Linked DNA regions of Oryctolagus cuniculus. The protein of the gene in region 1 binds, or shares a complex with, the protein of each later gene. Links are inferred from orthologs where the notes say so. Each region holds a gene or a part of one and is shown on either strand. Other genes may lie near its edges.

Region 1 (10,133 bases):
TCTGAGAATAGCCCCACCTCCCGAGAATAGTCCCACCCCCTAAGAATGGTCCCATCCCCCAAGAATAGTCCCATTCCCCCCAAGAACCCTGAGTGCTTCCCTGCCTGAGTGGTGGCCACTCAGCTTTCCTTTTTTTTTTTTTTTATATTTATTTATTTGGAAGGCAGCGTTAGAGGAGAGGGAGAGAGTGAGCGAGCAAGAGAGCTGGATCTTCTGGTTCACACCCCAGATGGCTGCAACAGCCAGAGCTGTGCCTATCCAAAGGCAGGATCAGGAGCTTCTTCCGGGTCTCCCAGGCGGGTACAGGGGCCCAGGGACTTGGGCCATCCTCCATTGCTTTCCCAGGCCATAGCAGGGAGCGGGAACAGAAGTGGAGCAGCCGGGTCTTGAACCAGTGCCAGTATGGGATGCAAGCACTGCAGGTGGCAGCTTCACCTGCTAAGCCACAGTGCCAGCCCCAGACACTCAGGTTTTCAACAAGATCACTTGAGGAGGGAGGGGCCTAAGTGAGGGGCAGCCCGCAGCGTGGGAGAGACTGGCCCACCTGCTGCAGAAGTGAGAATGTTTATCAGGTGTGTGGAGAGCCACCTGCCCAAAGTATGTGGTTCTGAGTGAGCGGCTTCTGTAAGCAGCACAAAATCGCTTTCGAGGGAACACGTTTTAAAAGCAGACAACAAGGTCACAGCACGTTGAGAAATGCTTTGGCAAAATCAGAGGTCGTGAGCTAACAAAGTGGAATTTAAAGCCAGAGGTAATAAATGACAAAATCTAAACACTAAAATAGACTTTTATATCTCTCATAAAGAGCCTTTCATACCTAGCACAAGTTTTCTTTTTTAAAAATAATGTTCACTTTTTAAAGATTTATAAACGTATTTGAAGAGTTACATAGAGAGACAGAGAGATCTTCCATCCTCTGGGCCCATTTAAGGTTAAGTAAGGTTTACTTACACCTGGCCCATTATCCACTGCTCTCCCAGGCACATTAGCAGGGAGCTGGCTCAGAAGTGGAGCAGCCAAGACTCAAACCGGTGCTCACAGGCGATGTTGGCATCACCGGCATTGGCTTCACCTGCTACCCCACAATGCTGGCCCTCAGGACAGCTTCCCTGAAGCCCTTCTGCACAACAAGGCGGTGACTGCTGACCTGCACGCTGGGCCTGAGAATGTGAAGTGGGGCTGGCGACGAGGCAGGTGTGGGTATCACCTCTGTGCGTCCACAATGCACACAGCTTCTACAATGAGCAGATTCACAACCTATCAACACACACCTTCTCTTCCACAAGGAGATCGGAATCCATTGCCTTTTTTTTTTTTTTTTTTTTTTTTTTTGACAGGCAGAGTGGACAGTGAGAGAGAGAGACAGAGAGAGAAAGGTCTTCCTTTGCCGTTGGTTCACCCTCCAATGGCCGCCGCTGCAGCCGGCGCACCGCGCTGATCCGATGGCAGGAGCCAGGATCCAGGTGCTTTTCCTGGTCTCCCATGGGGTGCAGGGCCCAAGCACCTGGGCCATCCTCCACTGCACTCCCTGGCCATAGCAGAGAGCTGGCCTGGAAGAGGGGCAACCGGGACAGAATCCGGCGCCCCGACCGGGTCTAGAACCCGGTGTGCCGGCGCCGCAAGGTGGAGGATTAGCCTATTGAGCCACGGCGCCGGCTGGAATCCATTGCATTTAATTATACAGTCTTAACCATTTCAATTCTCCCAGTATTTCCTCTCGATTTTCCGAAACCACTGAACCACTTCTCACCAATCACTTAAAGAAGGGCTACTTAGCACTTCCTGTAACCTTCACCCCAGAGAACTAGAAGCCGGGACATAGGTGTTCTTGTCTGCTTCCCCATCTACGAGCTTCTGCTTGTCTGTGGAAGAAAAACGCAGTGCTCAGTGCCACATCTCATCACCTGTCAGATCACTAAGCTGTGAAGCAAACAGAACACACAGAGAAGTCTTGGGGCCAGCTGTGCGGTGTAGTGGGTTATGCCGCCACCTTCAACACCCGCATCCCATATGGGTGCTTGTTCAAGTCCCAGCTACTCCACTTCCAATCCAGCTCCCTGCTAATGCACCTGGGAAAGCAGTGGAGGACAGCCCAGGTGCTTGGACCCCTGTGCCCACATGGGAGACCCAGAAGGAGCCCCTGGCTCCTGGTTTCCACCTGACCCAGCCCTGGCTGTTGCGATCATTTGCGGAGTGAAGCAGCAGATTGAAGATCTCTGTCCCTCTTCCAAATAAATCTTAGGAAAAAAAAAAAAAGAAAAAAAGGAAGTCTCCAGAAACTGTAGGAACTTGCGAGTCAGACATATTCCAAATCACAATCCTAATTTTAGGAGATGCTTCTTCCCTTAAATCAAGTTCACTTCGTAAGTAAAACAGCTGCCTGGGTCCCGGGTGCTGGCAGCTGGTGAGAACTCATTAGCCAAGGCCATGGGCACTGGGGCCTTTGTGTGGTCCAGTGAAGGGCCTCATTCTGGTGTGGAAGCAAGGTGAGGAGGCCTAGCTTTCTCTCGGATCAAAGTGGCACTGGGAGTATCCAGAATTAGATTCTGCAAGGCCCCCCAGTGGAACAAGCCTGCAGGTCCCCACCACTGTGAACACCGGGGACTTAAGTGTTCATATCACGGCTCTCAAAACGTGCAGCATCCAACTTCCCTGCTTTGTTCTTCCCCAGCATCACAAGACTTAGGAAGGGAGCCGGCTCTCCTATAAAAAGCTGACGGAATTGGTGCACGTGTGACAGACCCAACCCAGCTGGTGCCAACTCTGCAAGTAAGATTTCAGGAAACACCCTTCGTGGTGAGCCATCGCTGCACGTTGGCATCAGCCAGTTCTGATGTATCCAACGAAATAGCACTAAGACAGACACTTCTGATAGCTACTGGTAAAATGGGCCACAGCCACTGTAATTCAGTAAAGCAGAGCAAAAATTAAAGTCAATATAACCTGAAAGAACTCTGTGCTGATTCCTAATTTTACGACTCAAACCAGCACTAAGACTATATCGTTCAACACAAACCAAGGGATTTGTCAATTTGACAAGAAGTGATAAATGCTAACTGCATTTTGGGTCACAAAACACCCTGATGTGGGGGCCGACGCTGTGGTGCAGCGGGTTAAAGCCCCAGCTTGCAGCTCCAGCATCCATATGGGCGCCAGCTGGAGTCCTGGCTGCTCCACTTCCGATCCGGCTACCTGCTGATGGCCTGGGAAAGCAACGGAGGATGGCCCAAATGCTTGGGCCCCTGCACCCACATGGGAGACCTGGAAGAAGCTCCTGGCTCAGCTCCTGCCATTGTGGCCATCTGGGGAGTGAACCAGTGGATAGAAGACCTCTCTGTCTCTACTTTTCTCTGTAACTCTTTCAAATAAGTAAGTTTTTGTTTTAAAGATTTTTTATTTATTTATTTGACAGGTAGAGTTACAGACAGTGAGAGAGAGAGACAGAGAGAAAGGTCTTCCTTCCGTTGGTTCACCCCCCCAAATGGCCGCCACGGCCAGAGCTATGCAGATCCGAAGCCAGGAGCCAGGTGCTTCCTCCTGGTCTCCCATGTGGGTGCAGGTCCAAGCACTTGGGCCATCCTCCACTGCACTCCCAGGCCATAGCAGAGAGCTGGATTGGAAGTGGAACAGCCAGGACTCGAACCAGCACCCACATGGGATGCCGGCACTGCAGATGGCAGCTTTACCACTATGCCACAGTGCCAGCCTCTAAGTAAGTTTTTAAAAAAAAATCCTGTTGTGTTTTTTACTGATTGAATTTATTTATGTGTGTGCTTCTATCTTGCTTATTTCCAAAATATAATTGAATGCGGCCTTTTATAATAAGGTCAGCTGGCATCTCAATAATCTGAGGTGAACATTAAGTAGAAGAAACATTTAACCAAAGAAATGTAGCAGCAGATTGAAATCCTTCAGGGGCTGGCGCTGTGGCATAAAAAGCCGCTGCCTGCGGTGCCGGCATCCCATGTGGGCGCCGGTTTGAGTTCTGGCTGCTCCACTTCCGATCCAGCTCTCTGCTATGGCCTGGGAAAGCAGTAGAAGATGGCCCAGGTCCTTGGGACCCTGCACTCACGTGGGAGACCTGGAAGAAGCTCCTGGCTTCAGATGGGCCCAGCTCCAGCTATTACAGCCATCTGGGGAGGGAACCAGAGGATGGAAGACCTCTCTGTCTCTGCCTCTCTCTGTCTCTGCCTCTCTGTAACTCTGCCTTTCAAATAAAAGAAATAAATCTTTAAAAAAATAAACGGTGTGCAATATTTCCATGGTATAATTTATTCACTTTTATTAAAAAAACACACATTCCTTTATATCTAGTTGTATGTTAAAACATAGTGAATAACTTTATGACTTCCTGAAAATATATGTGAGGAAAAACAGACATTTGTCATACCAACAGTAGGTATTAGTTTAAAAAGATAGTTCCAATAATTTAATAAAATTCCAGCAATGATTATTTCTGAAATGTAAAAGATTTGAAACATAATTATAAAAGGTTAAAAACCAAAAGGATTCACTCCTGCTTTTTAAAAAAAACATCCAGACAGTTTGTCACGTCCAGGAAGTTCGGCAAGTGATAGCGGCTGCAGCCTCAGTCACCCTCGGAATCGCTGTCCCTCCTGGCGGGGACAGAGCACCGCACCGAGGACAGCAGCACGTCTTCGATCGGCTTCCTGGGGTTCTCCTCCAGGTCTGTCTTGATCGCCCCGGACTTGGCCAGTTTCCACTCCAACTCTACATGATCGAGAAAAAGCCAATCACATAAGGCTCCCCTCACCCTAAGTCCATCAAGCTGCGGTTTTCCTAAGCAGAAAATATAATCTCAAAATCTGATGACCAATTTAATGTTTTTGCCAAGAAGAAAGCGAAAAAAAAAGGTAACACCTTGGGACCAGTGCTGTGGAGTAGCAGGTTAAGCTGCCACCTGCAGTGCCGGCATCCCATATGGGCACTGGTTCGAGTTCCGGCTGCTCCACTTCTGATCCAGCTCTCTGCTATGGCCTGGGAAAGCAGTAGAAGATGGCCCAAGTCCTTGGGCCCCTGTACCCACATTGGAGACCAAGAAGAAGCACCTGGCTCCTGGCTTCGGATCAGTGCAGCGGCCGTAGTGGCCAATTGGGGAGTGAACCAACGGAAGGAAGACCTTTCTCTCTGTCTCTCTCTCTCTGTCTATAACTCTACCTGTCAAATAAGTTAAAAAAAAAAAAAAAAAAAAAGTAAGGAATCAGAGACTCGGCCTCTGTGCTTCCTCACTCCCTCTCACCCGTGAGACTCACGCAGCCCGAGACCGCATGTAGCCAAATCACGGGACGGATTTCTCCGGGCAGAGAACATCTCAGGCAGAGCAGAGGGACTGCCCGAGAGATTCCATAACCAACGGCTTGGAGAAGGTGGATCAGCGCAGAGAGGCTCTGCCAGCCAGGTCCTTCTAACCAGACCTCACACCCAGCCTTACTGCAGTCGCGTGACTTTAAAGCGCTCCGTGAAACAGAGCACCGAGCGGCAGCTACCAGGGCTCGGGGTAACAAAGTCTCTGATAGCCAGGTGGGCAAGTTCTGGAGAGCGAGGCACAGCATGGCGATGCAATGCACTGTGCACCTGAACCGCGCCAGCATGGTGACCTGCAGCGTCCTCACCAAAGTGCAAAGGAGACTGCGTGAGGAGCTGGGCGTGGCAACGGGCTGGACCGTGCTGCCGGTCTCACACGGTGTTCCCATTTCAGATCCTCGTGCTCTACAGCTTTAATGTACACTTTTTTTTTTGGGGGGGGGGGGGTCAATCGTACCTCATTAGTGGTGTGGGGAAAGGTGCTCCATGGAGATAAATACCATCAGTAGTTTCAGCTCTACATACCTTGGTTTACCATTCTGAAAATTCGACAAAATTCATTTTGAAAAATTTAAGATTTCTGCTTCTTAAGAATATGTATCTTGGGGCTGGCACTGTGGCATAGTGGGTAAAGCCGCGGCCTGCAGTGCCAGCATCCCATATGGGTACCGGTTCGAGTCTTGGCCGCTCCATTTCTGATCCAGTCTTTGCTATGGCCTGGGAAAGCAGAAGATGGCCCAAGTCCTTGGACCCCTGTACCCATGTGGGATACCTGGAAGAAGCTCCTGGCTTCTAGTTTTGGATCAGCCCAGTTCTGGCTGTTGCGGCCATTTGGGGAGTGAACCAGCAGTTGGAAGACCTTTCTCTCTCCGCCTCTCTGTACCTCTGCCTTTCAAATAAATTAAAAAAAAAAGAATATGTATATTTATATATCCACCATACATGAACAGGTATGTATTTAATGACACTGTTCACTCCCCATGTGACTACTGTTACATACAAGGTCACTAATCCACAAGTCAGTCTTTGTGTGGCAACAGACTACAGCTATGATCGCATATTGCTGTGGTTTAGATGTGGCTTGTCCCTGCCAAAAAAGCTGCAATTTGGTTGCCAGGGTAGCAAGGTTGGGAGGCGGGCCCCTTAAAGGAGATACATACTCTTCTGGAGAAACTGAACTGGTTTTCCCAGGAATGGATTTGTTCTCGAGAGCAGGTTGTCACAAAGCAAGCCTGGCACGTCCCTGGGTCTCTGTCCCACACAGGCCTCTGCTTCTCTGACATGACAGACACAGCCCAAGGCACTCCCCAAAAGCCAAGCGCATGCCTGTGCCACTCTCCTGGGCTTCCCCACCTCCCAAACGGGAGCTGAGTGAGATACACGACTTTCCTTCAGATGTCACTCAGCCTGGGGTACTTTGTTAAAGAAACAGAAAATAGACTACCATGCCAATCTCCATGCACAGTACATTCAAAAAAGGTCAAAATTAGGTTGGAAGACCTCTCTCTCTGCCTCTCCTCTCTCTGTGTAACTCTTTCAAATAAATAAATAAATAGGTCAAAATGAGATGCCAGCATGCATTTGAAACACTATACACCTTTCAACACTGGAATGACATATAACAAACATGTATGAGATGCATGTTTATACTTTTCCCAGTGAACTATTTTAGTGGTGTAATATATAAAATGTTGAAAATATTTTTGAAGACTATTCAAGCATGGTTGGACACAGTCCTTGAGTAGAGAGAATTTGCCTCTGGCCTCAGGTTCTCTCATTAAGCATGGATAAACACTTTGCCATCTCCATGTGTAACACATGGGAAGGAATTTTTTTTAATCCTTCCAGAGTTACAGGCAAAAATAAATAAAGTTTAAATTGAAAAGCTACTAAGGTACTCAACTGAGAAAATATTTCAACAGAGAAATATACATACATATGAGGGCTTCAAAAAATTCATGAAAAATGTGTATTATGAAAAACTATACAAGGGTCTCAAAAAATCTTTTTGCACCAAAATAGATTTATCTTCTAATTTTATCATACCACAAACTTTTTAGACTGAACTCCTATGTGTCTTCAACAATACGTTGATGTGAGCAAAAAATGAATGTTATATTGGGCTACACTTAAAAAATATTTAGCTGCAGGGCCAAATAAAGTATATTTGACATTAACGTTAAACATGTAGCTAGGTTCTCTGTGTCTTCCTTTGAGAACTGCTGCAGCCCCGCTGTGACTGCTCCTAACTAGTTGCTAAGACAGGAGACCAAATGCACAGCTGCCCACATGGCAACACCCGGCCAGCAAACAAGCACTCTCAGTAACAGAAAAACCCCCTCCCCGGCCCTCATACGCCCCTTACCATCTCGAGTCAAGTTCATGCCGCCGAACACCAGTGGGCCAACAAACTGAGCCTTGATCTCGCCTTCCAGGTACACGAATACCGTGGGCAGATTCCTATCTGGATAATTGGGTATGCAGGTTGTTGAAATGGCTTTGATGAACTTCACATCAGGAAACTTCCTGGCAAGTGCGCTGAAGTGCTGATTTATCAAGGCACAGAGGGGAATCCTGGAACACACAAACAGAATGCAGAGGCACTGGTGATTCCACTACCGGCCAAGACCAATCAGCACTTCCTAATATGTCCATGTGAAGTGAAGAACTTGAAACCCAAAGTCCAATTTCATTTGATACAACAACAGCTCAGGAAAACAGTGTCAGCATAAAAGACAACTGCTATGGCCTTCCATAAGGTCGAATGAGAGAACACCAAAGATGCAGAATGTGTGAAACAGGCCAGAACATATTTCCTGCTTTAAGGAAATGCCACAAAAAGCACTGGGCTCTACAGGTTAGGAGCAGGACTGAGCGTGGAGGGAGGCTGGAGGCCCTCAGCACCACACGGCAGACAATGGCTGGGAGGTCACCTTCTCTGTCTGCAGGAACCATGAACTATAGAATTTGGAATTGCCGGAGTCCCAGGAATTCCTTTTCAGTGAAAGCAAACTGACTCTTCAACTATACTTTTTTTTTTTTTAATTTGAAAGGCAGAGTTATGGATAGAGGAGGAAAGATGGAGAGAGAGAGGTTTTCCATCTCTGGTTCACTCCCCAAATGGTCACAACGGCCAGGGCTAGGCCAGGCTGAAGCAAGGGGCCCAGTGCTGCTTCTGGGTCTCCCACATGCGTGCAGGGGTCCAAGCGTCCAGGCCATCCTCTGCTGCTCTCCCAGGCGCATTGGCAGGGAGCTGAATCAGAAGCAGAGCAGCCGGGTCTCAAACTGGCACCCATTTGGGATGCTGGTGTTGCAGGCGGAGGCTTAACCCACTATGTCACAACGCCAGCCCCTTCTTTGCTATATTTTTACAGAGACAATTGCATTGAGTCACAGATATTAATTTGGTAGTCAAGATAAAAATTAGGCATTAAAGCTTTAGTAAATGAGCAACAAAAACACATAACACTAATAAACAACGACAAATACCAGAATATGGAATAAGCTTGATATGGATTCAACATATAAATTAAAATTCACATGTTCTAGAACACAAAAGATGATCAGCTCACCCTTGTTTGTAAAGGTGCAAGATTACCCACAAGCCCTCACCAGCTTTGGTAACTTCTTGGACATAATCTTTTCCTGAAATCTCCAAAACTTCTCCAAATTTATTCTTTTCTTGAGTTGCTCTCCACTCGGCCAGTCTTTGCTGCCTGGACAACAGACAGAGAAAATATCTTCTAACACATGCACATATGTACGCATGCACAAATACACACACAAATAGCCATCTTCCACTGCCTTCCCAGGCGCATTAGCAGGGGAGTTGAGTCAGAAGTGGAACAGCCAGGACTCTAACTACCACTCATATGGGATGCTGGCAATACAGGCAGTGTGGCTCCATCCACTGTGCCACAACACCAGCCCCCAGAAAAGTAAATTTACAATGGATGCACATTTTACGGTATGGTAAAAATTACCACGCAAAAAACCTAAACGGTCCCTCTGAGTGGCACTAACCTGTACATTTCAATAGCACGTTCATCCTCTTCATTGAATTCGTCTTCATTATCTTCCAGTTCTTCCAATGTCATATCTTCATACGTCTTCACTGAATTTAGTTACAACAGCCAAAGCAAAAAAAACAAAAATTCAAGATGAACAAACATGCATTTTGGGTATTCCCCTTCGCTTTTCTCCTAAAGGTAAGCACACAATACCAGCAGGCCCCAGCTCACCAACATAAAGATTACTTACATCTCACTAGTGAATAAGACGTGGGGGGTGTTTTAAAAAGAAAAACCTGTGCGGACACCTACAGACGGGAGCATCTCACCCCCACACAGTGAGTGGATGGGTGAGAAATCTCCCAGGTTTACAAAGCCCGAAGTCCCCTGGTCGGGCATATCCACTAGCGGCAGGTGTATCAACAATTCTACTACCCAAGGAGTCGGGGTGATGGCAGCAGGGGACCTTCCCACACACACTTTCCTGGAGTTAAAGGTGACCGTCATGTATTTCTTGGCCATGTCTTCTGTGTGGCAGGCAACTCTATCCTTTCTTGTAATGAACTGGTATAAAATCAGCATCTCATTTTTACTGTCACTCCTGCTTGACAGCAAACCTGGCTTTCGCTGTGCCTCCAACAAAACTCTCATCCAGGTCAACAACCTCATTCCCTGATGACGAGCGGCACCTGATCCAAGCCGTCCCGGCCTCCCCTGGCTTCCAGGAGGCCCCGTTCTCCTCCTGCCCCTACAGCTGTGCCCACTGTGAACCTTCTGCTGATGACAAGTGCTCAGGGT
Region 2 (9,828 bases), on another chromosome or scaffold:
CAAATAGTTGGTGCTGACCCCATTTTACAGATGAGGGATCTGAAACTCAGAGAAGTTAGGTTAATCACCTGAGGAACACAACTAGTATTGATAAAAATCAAGATTTGAACGCAGCTGTTTGGCTTCAGTTTACATTATATGAAATTTCTTTTTTTATTATTTATTTATTGAGATTTATTTATTTTAAAGAGTTACAGAGGTAGAGAGAGAGAGGTCTTCCATCTGCTGGTTCACTCCCCAGATGGCTACAATGGCCAGAGCTGGGCTAATCGGGAGCCAGGAGCTTCTTCCAGGTCTCCCACATGGCTGCAGGGGCCAAGGACTTGGGCCATCTTCTACTGCTTTCCCAGGCCATAGCAGAGAATTATATTGGAAATGGAGCAGCCGGGACTTGAACCGGCACCCACATGGGCACTGTAGGCAGCAGCTTCACCTGCTACACCACAGCCCCAGTTATCCCAATTTTCTGATGCATCAGGAGAATATTAGGTTGGAGTTAATTTAGCTTTGAAATATTGAAGGAAGATTTCCAAAGGGCAGAAATTCACAAGACTCTAAAGCAGGGGTGGGTAACGTTTTTTCTGCCAAGGGCTATTTGGATATTTATATCATTTGCAGGCCATACAAAGTTATCAATTTAAAATCAGTCAGCTATAGATATACTGAATTTTGAGTTTCACATACAGTTTTCTTGGCAAGGCCAGACCAAACGATTTCACCAGCCTTATACAACCCACAGTTCTAATGTTCCCTGGCCCTGTTCTAAAGCAAAATCATTGAATTTTATAAACAAGGATTTCAAACAAAAATTTAATTGGGGGAAGAATTAAGACCCAGAATTTCCACACATACTAGCAGGACAGGGCTGATACTGAATTGGGTGGTCAGAGACATTAGGAAGGCCAAACTTGAGGGCCAGCATTGTGGTGTAGCAGGTTAAACCACTGCCTGTGACACCAGTATCCAGTGTGGGCACTGGTGCGAGACCCGGTTGCTTCTCTGCTAATGCGCCTGGGAAAGCAGCAGCAGATGGCACAAGTACTTGAGCCCCTGAACTCATGTGAGAGATCAGGAAGAAGCTTCTGGCTCCTGGCTTCAGCCTGGCCCAGCCTTGACCATTTAGGGAGTGAACCAGCAGATGGAAGATTGATCTCTCACTAACTCTCTGTAAGTCTGCCTTTCAAATAAATTAAATCTTTTTAAAAAAAAAAAAGCTGAACTCACCACTGATGGCTATGTGACTTTGTGTTCTGGTTGCTTTATAATTTAATGCAGGCGCTAAACTGGGTGACAGCTGGAGTGAAAGTGGCTTACAGAGGTGTGAGGTCACAGATCTGCCCTTACTCTGACTCTTACTTCCTGGGGTGTATGGGAGTTGTGGGTGCAGGGAGTGTAGGAGTTGGGGTGACCCTGAAGGGCCTTGTCAGTGCGGGGATTTTTAAATCAGAGGACTCTTACTCAACCAAACAGACTGACATTGAGATCACTCGAGAGGAGGACTTCACCCGGATTCTTCAGATGGAAGAAGAGTACATCCAGCAGCTCTGTGAGGACATTATCCAGCTGAAGCCTGACGTGGTCATCACAGAAAAGGGCATCTCAGGTAGGGCTGCGCCGGGCCCCAGCCTGCCTGGGGGTGGGAGAGGGTGCGTGAACTTCCTTACTCCCCGTGTTGGTTGTGTGGTGGAGCGCTTTAAGGATAAACCCAAGAATTCTGGCATCCAGCTTGACGCCTGCTGTTGGATTTGCAGATCTAGCTCAGCACTACCTCATGCGGGCCAATGTCACAGCCATCCGCAGAGTCCGGAAGACAGACAATAATCGCATCGCTAGGTGAGTAAGCCAGGTAAAAATAAGAGCCTTCCCGTGGGTGGGTTTCTTTTTTTGTGGCTGTATAATGGAGTCATTACCTGAGAAGGTGTAATACAGACTACAATGACAGGGAGAAATAACCTGGATTTAACTGTCTGCCCTCCTCAGAAGTCCTCTAGTCCAGCAATTACCCACTGCATGGGTCTCCTCTGTAATGTGCCTAACCACGAGTGAGCAGCTTGTGCTTAGACATCTGTAATCGCTACCTTGGTATAAGTATCCATTATGTCGCTAAATAGCTACTTGTCAAATAGTCCTTCTCTTCACTGTCACCGTGATGAGTGTGGATGAATTTCCAGAGTAGTCTGTTTTAACTGGCTCAGAATATAGCAGAACCATCCGTTTCTGTGACTAGATCCTCAGCTGCTGTTAATGGGACTCTAGGTTGCATTTGCTACTTCTGTTTATACTCGGATACACCATCCACTTTTAATACTAATCTGTTAAGAAACCGAAAAGTCTGTCCGAACATCGCACAGTGCGTCACAGTCCAAACTGAATTTCATTCTTCTGCTTGCTCTGCAATGACTTTGGGTTCTATGAAGAGTTGATTCCACTTGCACAGGAATTGAGGGGAGAGAGTTACACTTAAAAAATCAGTGTATGAGGCCGGCGCCACGGCTCACTAGGCTAATCCTCCGCCTAGCGGCGCCAGCACACCGGGTTCTAGTCCCAGTCGGGGCGCCGGATTCTGTCCCGGTTGCCCCCCTTCCAGGCCAGCTCTCTGCTGTGGCCAGGGAGTGCAGTGGAGCATGGCCCAAGTGCTTGGGCCCTGCACCCCATGGGAGACCAGGAAAAGCACCTGGCTCCTGGCTCCTGCCATCGGATCAGCGCGGTGCGCCGGCCGCGGCAGCCATTGGAGGGTGAACCAATGGCAAAGGAAGACCTTTCTCTCTGTCTCTCTCTCTCTCTGTCCACTCTGCCTGTCAAAAAAAAAAAAAAAAGTTAAAAAAAAAAATCAGTGTATGTTCATTAAAATTGGGTCAGACTAGGTACTTAATTCACCTTCATTGCGTGACCTTGACCTCTTCTTCGGAACAATCCTGTAACTGACCTCAGGACCCAGCTGGGGAGTGGGATCAGTTCTGTGTAGACATGACCATTGTGTGGTATGTGCATGTTAGATATGCATGAGAACTCATTCTTCCAGATACTCGTATTTGGTTATAGTAGTGATGATTATTAACCTTCGGTATATACATGGTTTTATTTAATAAAGCCTACTCATTTAAGTAAGTTTGCCTTTATATGGTTATAAACCCTTTCTGCTAGGCAGCCAAGACCCCTCAAGTGATGTTTCTGATAATCCAGTTTTGCCCTAATTCCCACATACAGATCCTAGGGACTAGGGAGATGGTTAAAAAGTAGTTCAAGTTGCCTGGTTCCCCCCCCCCCCCCTCCAATAGAGCCTGTGGGGCCCGGATAGTCAGCCGACCAGAGGAATTGAGAGAAGATGATGTTGGAACGGGAGCTGGCCTACTGGAAATCAAGAAGATTGGAGATGAGTATTTTACATTCATCACTGAATGCAAGGACCCTAAGGCCTGCACAATTCTCCTCAGGGGAGCCAGCAAAGAGATTCTCTCGGTGAGTCCACCTAAGAAGTGGGACCAAATGAAGGAGGTCATTGCACTTCTCGAGAGTTTCCCAGAGGGCAGAAAGCACCTGTTGCCCATCTGTAGCTATTTGATTTGTCTCTGTAACCACAAATAACTTCCCTGCTTCCTTTTTTTTTTTTTTTTTTTTTTTTAAGATTTATTTATTTGTAAGGCAAATTACAAAGGGAAAAAAGGAGAGATACCTTCCATCCACTGGGTTCACTCCCCAAATGGCCCCAATGATTGGAACTGGGCCAGACTGAAGCCGGGAGCCAGGAGCTTCATCCAGGTCTCCCACGTGGATGTAGGAACCCAAGCACTTAAGCCGTCTTCCACTGTTAGCAAGGAGCTGGATCGGAAGTGGAGCAGCTAGGACTCGAACCAGCACCCATATGGGATGCCAGCATCTCAGGCGGCAACTTTACCCACTACTACACAACACTGACCCCAGCTCCCCCACTCCTTTTTTTAAAACTAATTTTTAAAAATTTTAATGGTTTAGCCGGCGCCGTGGCTCAATAGGCTAATCCTCCACCTTGCGGCGCCGGCACACCGGGTTCTAGTCCCGGTCGGGGCGCCGGATTCTGTCCCGGTTGCCCCTCTTCCAGGCCAGCTCTCTGCTATGGCCAGGGAATGCAGTGGAGGATGGCCCAGGTGCTTGGGCCCTGCACCCCATGGGAGACCAGGAGAAGCACCTGGATCCTGGCTCCTGCCATCGGATCAGCGCGGTGCGCCGGCTGCAGCGGCGGCCATTGGAGGGTGAACCAACGGCAAGGGAAGACCTTTCTCTCTCTGTCTCTCTCTCTCTCACTGTCCACTCTGCCTGTCAAAAATAAAATAAAATAAAAAATTAAAAAAAAAAAAAAAAAATTTTAATGGTTTAAAACATAAAACTTAAAATTTACAGGCCTTATGGTACGGTGGGCCAGGCTGCAGCTTAGGACACCCATGTCCACCCGTGACCCAGCTCCTGCTGATGTATCCTGGGAAGCAGCAGACAGTGGCTCAAATGCCCGGGCCCCTGCCACCCTTGGAGTTCCAAGCTACTGGCCTAAGCCTGATTGAGTCCTGGCTGTTGGCAGGCAAATGGGGTGGGGGGTGAGGCTGTGAACAAGCAGATGGAAGATCTTGGGCCATCATCCACTGCCTTCCAGACACATTGTCAGGAAGCTGGATTAGAAGCAGAGTAGCCTAGTATTCCAGTACTGAACGAGGCAGCCTAAGTGGTGGCTCGCCCCACTGTGCCATGGTGCTCACCCTGCGTTCACATTCTTGTGCAAGGGATCTCCAGATCCTACATTTACTGAGTACGACTTGCCGTTTGCTCTTCTATGCAACCACTGCCTATTTTTTAAGTAGAAATAATCAATACTGCTTTTTTTCCTCAATTAGGCAAAATAACTTTCCCAAAGACAACATCCCTAATCCATAAGAGAATCTTTCCACTACACCATACAGCCTCCTAAAGGATGCAACTAGGGAGGGACGGAGTGTCATTCTGTGCAGCGTAACAGAGCCCTGACTTCACAGCTGGGATGACACCTCCCGACCCTTGCCCTCTTGGAGTCATGAATTACACATTCTTCCTGGGTAGTTAGCCTCTGCCTTGACCAGTAGGACTTCAAGGACCTTTTCTGGTTACCCTCCTTGGTGATTTGCTAACCTTAGCATCTAGGAAATCTATTGGTGTTTCTATTCCTCTATGAGTCAGCACGCTTTGGCTTCATACTGTCTGTTTATTTCCCCAAGGAAGTAGAGCGCAACCTCCAGGATGCCATGCAGGTGTGCCGCAATGTTCTCCTGGACCCCCAGCTGGTGCCAGGGGGTGGGGCCTCTGAGATGGCTGTGGCCCACGCCTTGACAGAAAAATCCAAGGCCATGACTGGCGTGGAGCAGTGGCCATACAGGGCTGTTGCCCAGGCCCTAGAGGTCATCCCCCGTACCCTGATCCAGAACTGCGGGGCCAGCACCATCCGTCTACTTACCTCTCTTCGGGTGAGTTCCTCTTCATGCTGTTTTGGTGAGGAGGGGAAGGTTCTCTGTTCACCTGTAGTTTGTTCCTTTTCATCTGTGTGTGCTTTCATTGCTGTTTCCATGTCAATCCAGTATTTTTGGTTTAGTTTTTTATCTAATGTTCCTGTTCCCTGCTCACTACTTGAACTCAATCTGCTTGTTTCAACTGCAGGCCAAGCACACCCAGGAGAACTGTGAGACCTGGGGTGTGAATGGTGAGACGGGTACCTTGGTGGACATGAAAGAGCTGGGCATATGGGAGCCCCTGGCTGTGAAGCTGCAGACGTATAAGACAGCAGTGGAAGTAAGGCTCCCGAGGACATGTGCACGCGGTTTATTTTGGGATCACCAGAAACCAGTCTTGAAGGGAGGGGTTACAGAAGGCAGAGTATTCCCCAGAGGTCTCCCAAGGCCTTCCGTTTCCCTACTCAGCTGAAGCACACACAGCAGCACGAGCTGCATTGCTCAGGGGGAGCTGCCTTTTAAAGACTGGGAAGAGGCAGGATTCAGAGAAAATGGAAATTCTTTGGGAGGAGCTGGGTGATACTGTCTGAAAGAGAACATGTCTTTTCCCTTCTCTGCTGACCTCTTGGGGGTGTGGTTTTTTCTCCTAGACGGCAGTTCTGCTGCTACGGATCGATGACATCGTCTCAGGTCACAAAAAGAAGGGCGATGACCAAAGCCGGCAAGGTGGGGCTCCTGACGCTAGCCAGGAGTGAGTGGTGCACAGGACAACCTCAACACAGAGAGCCAGCGGAGGCCCCCTCCTGCGCCAGCGTGCCCAGGACACTGGATGTCTTTGTTCGGAAGGGATCAGGTTGAGGGGCAGCCCCCAGGCCCTTTCTGTCCCAGCTCAGTTTGCAAAAGGCACTGACATGTAATTCTCTATTGTAAGCTTTCCATTTAGTTTGCTTCCGATGATTAAATCTAAGTCATTTGAGATAGTTGTTATGTGTTTTTCAACCTTGGTCGTATCTCTGCCTCCTGACAAAAAGGGAGGAGCCAGAAAAGCACACTGAGGAAGAAGGGAGACTGGAGTGAAGTCATTAAGTCTTCTTGATGGGGTTTTTCACATGTCTCAGTCAATTTGTTGGGAAGATCCTTACGGAATTTAAAGGACGACAGTATAAAGCTTTAGGAGCACCCAAGGAACAGGAGGAACCTGTCTAGATGTAGGGTGTTCCCCAGCTGCGATTGTATGTAGAGCAACACCCCGTGTGTGCCAGGGCTCAGGCTTATGTCCAGAAAGACTTAGAGCATCTCTTTTTGTATTTTGTTGTTTCCACGATCTTCCCGACCTTAACCTGTAGCTCCTTTGCTCTACATTCTCCCAGTGTTCTTCCTAATCTATATTTTAATTTGCTAGCATGTTCTCATGCCAGGATTGTGTAACAGTCAGCTCTGTCTTCCCTGCTAGCTGAAACAAAGCATTTGAATCTCATTTTCTGCTGTTTTTACCAAGGGGACAAAGATGAGCAATGTACTGTGTGGGGCCAGCCTTTAATTTATTCGTAGTCTGTCCTTTGGGCTACTGGGCCTTTGTCCCTATGATTCATACATTCAGTCTTATCTCCTCCCTGGCCACAGGACTTAGTCACTTTAAGTTGAAGACTTGGTAGAATGGTAGGTAGCATGTAACAGGTGTGTTCTGAGTGCTTTGTGTATGTTAAACTAATCCTCACAGCAGCCCTGTAAGATGGATAATGTTTTCCCTGTTTTGTGAGGGGGAATCTGAAACAGTGACTTGTCTGAGGGTCACAGAGCTGGTAACTGGCAAGCCTGGAGATCTAGGCAGATCCTCACTTCTTGCCTTCGGGCTGAGAGCAAATGAAGATCTAAGTAGTGTGGCTCTGGAAGCTATGCTGTCAAACAACCTGAGGTGCAGAGTGGACAGAGGCTTGCAAAAGTACAAATAAGCAAAGATCTTAAAGACATTGCTTGGAAGACCAATAAAGGATGGTGATCTAGAGCAAACCAGCTGTACCCTATGAATGGTTTTTTGTTTGTTTGTTTTGTTTTTGTTTTTTTGAGAATTAACACAGAAAGGTCTTCCCATCTACTGGTTCACTCCCCATATGGCCACAACAGCTGGAGCCCTTAATGTCAGCAATAACCATGGGTGTGCCAGTCTAAAACCAAGGGCCCAGAACTTCATTCAGGTCTCCCATGTGGGTGGCATGGGGATAAACACGTGGGCCATGATCTGCTTCCTTGCAGTATACACACCAGAAGCTGAATCAGAAGCTAGGTAATGGCACTTAAACCAAGCACTGTGACGTGGGATGCAGGTATCCCAAATAGCAACCTAACCACCAACTGCTTTCCCAGGCCATAGCAGAGAGCTGTATTGGAAGTGGAGCAGCCAGGCGCCCATATGGGATGCTGGCACAGCAGGCAGTAGCTTTACCTGCTATGCCACAGCGCCAGCCCCAAATTTCTATTAATAAAACCTGCATTCAGCTATGATTCTTGTTAACTTGTTATCAGGTCCCAGACCTTAGAGTGGGGATGGGGAATATCCTTTGATCTGGTATTGCCATGGCAACTGCAGGATGGACTTGAAATTCTTTAAGGGGCAGTGCAGTGGGTAAAGCCACCACCTGCAGTGCCGGCATCCCATATGGGTGCTGGTTCTAGTCCCGGCCGCTCCTCTTCTGATCCAGCTCTCTGCTATGGCCTGAGATAGCGGTGGAGGATGGCTCTTTTCTAAAAAAAAAAAAAAAAAAAAAATTCAGGCCGGGGCCGCGGCTCTACTGCAGTAGGCTAATCCTCCGCCTTGCGGCGCCGGCACACTGAGTTCTAGTCCCGGTCGGGGCACCGGATTCTGTCCCGGTTGCTCCTCTTCCAGGCCAGCTCTCTGCTGTGGCCCAGGAAGGCAGTGGAAGATGGCCCAAGTCCTTGGGCCCTGCACCAGCATGGGAGACCAGGAGGAAGCACCTGGCTCCTGGCTTCGGATCAGCGGGGTGTGCCAGCCACAGTGGCCATTGAAGGGTGAACCAAGGGTAAAAGGAAGACCTTTCTATCTCTCACTGTCCACTCTGCCTGTCAAAAAAAAATTTTTCAGTGAGAGGACAGTGCAGTGGGTAAAGCCACTGCCTGCAGTGCTGGCATCCTATATGGGTATGGTATAGAACCTATATGGTTCTAGTCCTGGCTGCTCCACTTCCGACTTGAACTCTGCTATGGCCTGGGAAAGCAGTGGAGGAAGACTTGAGTGTTTGGGCCCCTGCACCCACAAGGGAGACCCAGAGGAAGCTCCTGGGTTCAGATTGGCACAGCTCTAGCTGTTGGTGGCCATCTGGGGAGTGAGCCAGTGGATGGAAGATCTCTCTCTGCCTTTTCCTCTTTGTAATTCTGCCTGCCTTTCAGATAAATCTTTAAAAAAAAAAAAAAAAGTCACTACACCCCATATATATGTACAAAAATAAACTACCAATTTATAAAAAAAAATTTGAGGCCAGCACCTCGGCTCACTAGGTTAATCCTCTGCCTGCGGCACCGGCACACCGGGTTCTGTCCTGGTTGCCCCTCTTCCAGGCCAGCTGTCTGCTGTGGCCCGGGAGTGCAGTGGAGGATGGCCCAAGTGCTTGGGCCCTGCACCCCATGGGAGACCAGGAGGAAGCACTTGGCCCCTGGCTTTGGATCGGCGCCACACAGCGGCCATTTTGGGTTGAACCAACAGAAGGAGGACCTTTCTCTGTTTCTCTCACTAACTGCCTGTCAAAAAAAATTATTTTTTAATCTAAAGCAGGCCAACTTTTAGGTTAGTAATTTTGTTACGGCTCACAAATGATGTAAATATCCAAATGGCCCTGGCAGAAGAAAGGTCCCCCAGCCCTGCCCTGGAGCACAGCGGTACTTTTTTGCTCAGTAAAAACTTTGAGGAAACAGTTCATCACAGAGTAGCCATTTGAAAGAAGAGAATCAGATTGGATCCCTGCTTCACTGCAGCCCTAGTGATCTGGGCGGCTGAAAGATTCGAGTGCAAGAAAATGAAAATAAAAGCGTATGAGAAAGAAACACGGGATTTAGAATACACCAGTGTGGGAGGGGAGAATACCTAAAAATTTGCATAGCAAGAATATGGGGGAGGGAGGATGTTTGTAACAATAAAGAACTTGCAAAATTGGCAGTTAAGGAAAAAAGGTTCATTTTTAAAATAGGCTAATGGTAGAAATAGCTCCAGAGAAGCGTAAGTTAGTGACTAACACATGAGACTCTTACCCTTACTCATGGGGAAATAGAATCCCAGCTTGGCGAGTGCCTGGCAGGTGTACATGGAAGTGAGCCCTCCAGAACGGGCTGTGTCAGGTGCACCTCGGACGTGACGACTCCACTGCTGGGT

The links.
Region 2: the proteins of PDCL3 (region 1) and CCT3 are in contact, whole or in part, in a cryo-EM structure (PDB 8I6J), measured with the Homo sapiens proteins. The link is inferred for Oryctolagus cuniculus from reciprocal best matches to the Homo sapiens genes PDCL3 and CCT3. Residues at the interface, in NP_076970.1 of Homo sapiens: Glu66, Ala70, Met73, Tyr74, Arg75, Arg77, Arg78, Trp82, Leu182, Pro212, Lys213, Ile216, Glu217, Asp218, Val219, Arg226, Leu229, Met230; in NP_005989.3 of Homo sapiens: Met47, Pro53, Met54, Val58, Met59, Thr60, Asn61, Asp62, Ala65, Arg68, Glu69, Arg167, Ile258, Glu261, Phe264, Leu268, Gln269, Glu271, Ser297, Asp298, Leu299, His302, Ser380, Glu382, Ile383, Arg389.

Annotation. Positions count from the first base shown.
Region 1 is NC_091433.1:108,015,717-108,025,849, forward strand, and holds the end of PDCL3 (phosducin-like protein 3), read right to left. Parts: intron 9,440-10,133; coding exon 9,349-9,439; intron 9,042-9,348; coding exon 8,898-9,041; intron 7,900-8,897; coding exon 7,691-7,899; intron 4,732-7,690; coding exon 4,589-4,731; 3' UTR 4,257-4,588; downstream 1-4,256. UniProt on the Homo sapiens protein: Acts as a chaperone for the angiogenic VEGF receptor KDR/VEGFR2, increasing its abundance by inhibiting its ubiquitination and degradation.
Region 2 is NC_091438.1:42,409,266-42,419,093, forward strand, and holds the end of CCT3 (T-complex protein 1 subunit gamma), read left to right. Parts: intron 1-1,470; coding exon 1,471-1,603; intron 1,604-1,751; coding exon 1,752-1,833; intron 1,834-3,278; coding exon 3,279-3,459; intron 3,460-5,219; coding exon 5,220-5,465; intron 5,466-5,655; coding exon 5,656-5,787; intron 5,788-6,097; coding exon 6,098-6,202; 3' UTR 6,203-6,423; downstream 6,424-9,828. UniProt on the Homo sapiens protein: Component of the chaperonin-containing T-complex (TRiC), a molecular chaperone complex that assists the folding of actin, tubulin and other proteins upon ATP hydrolysis.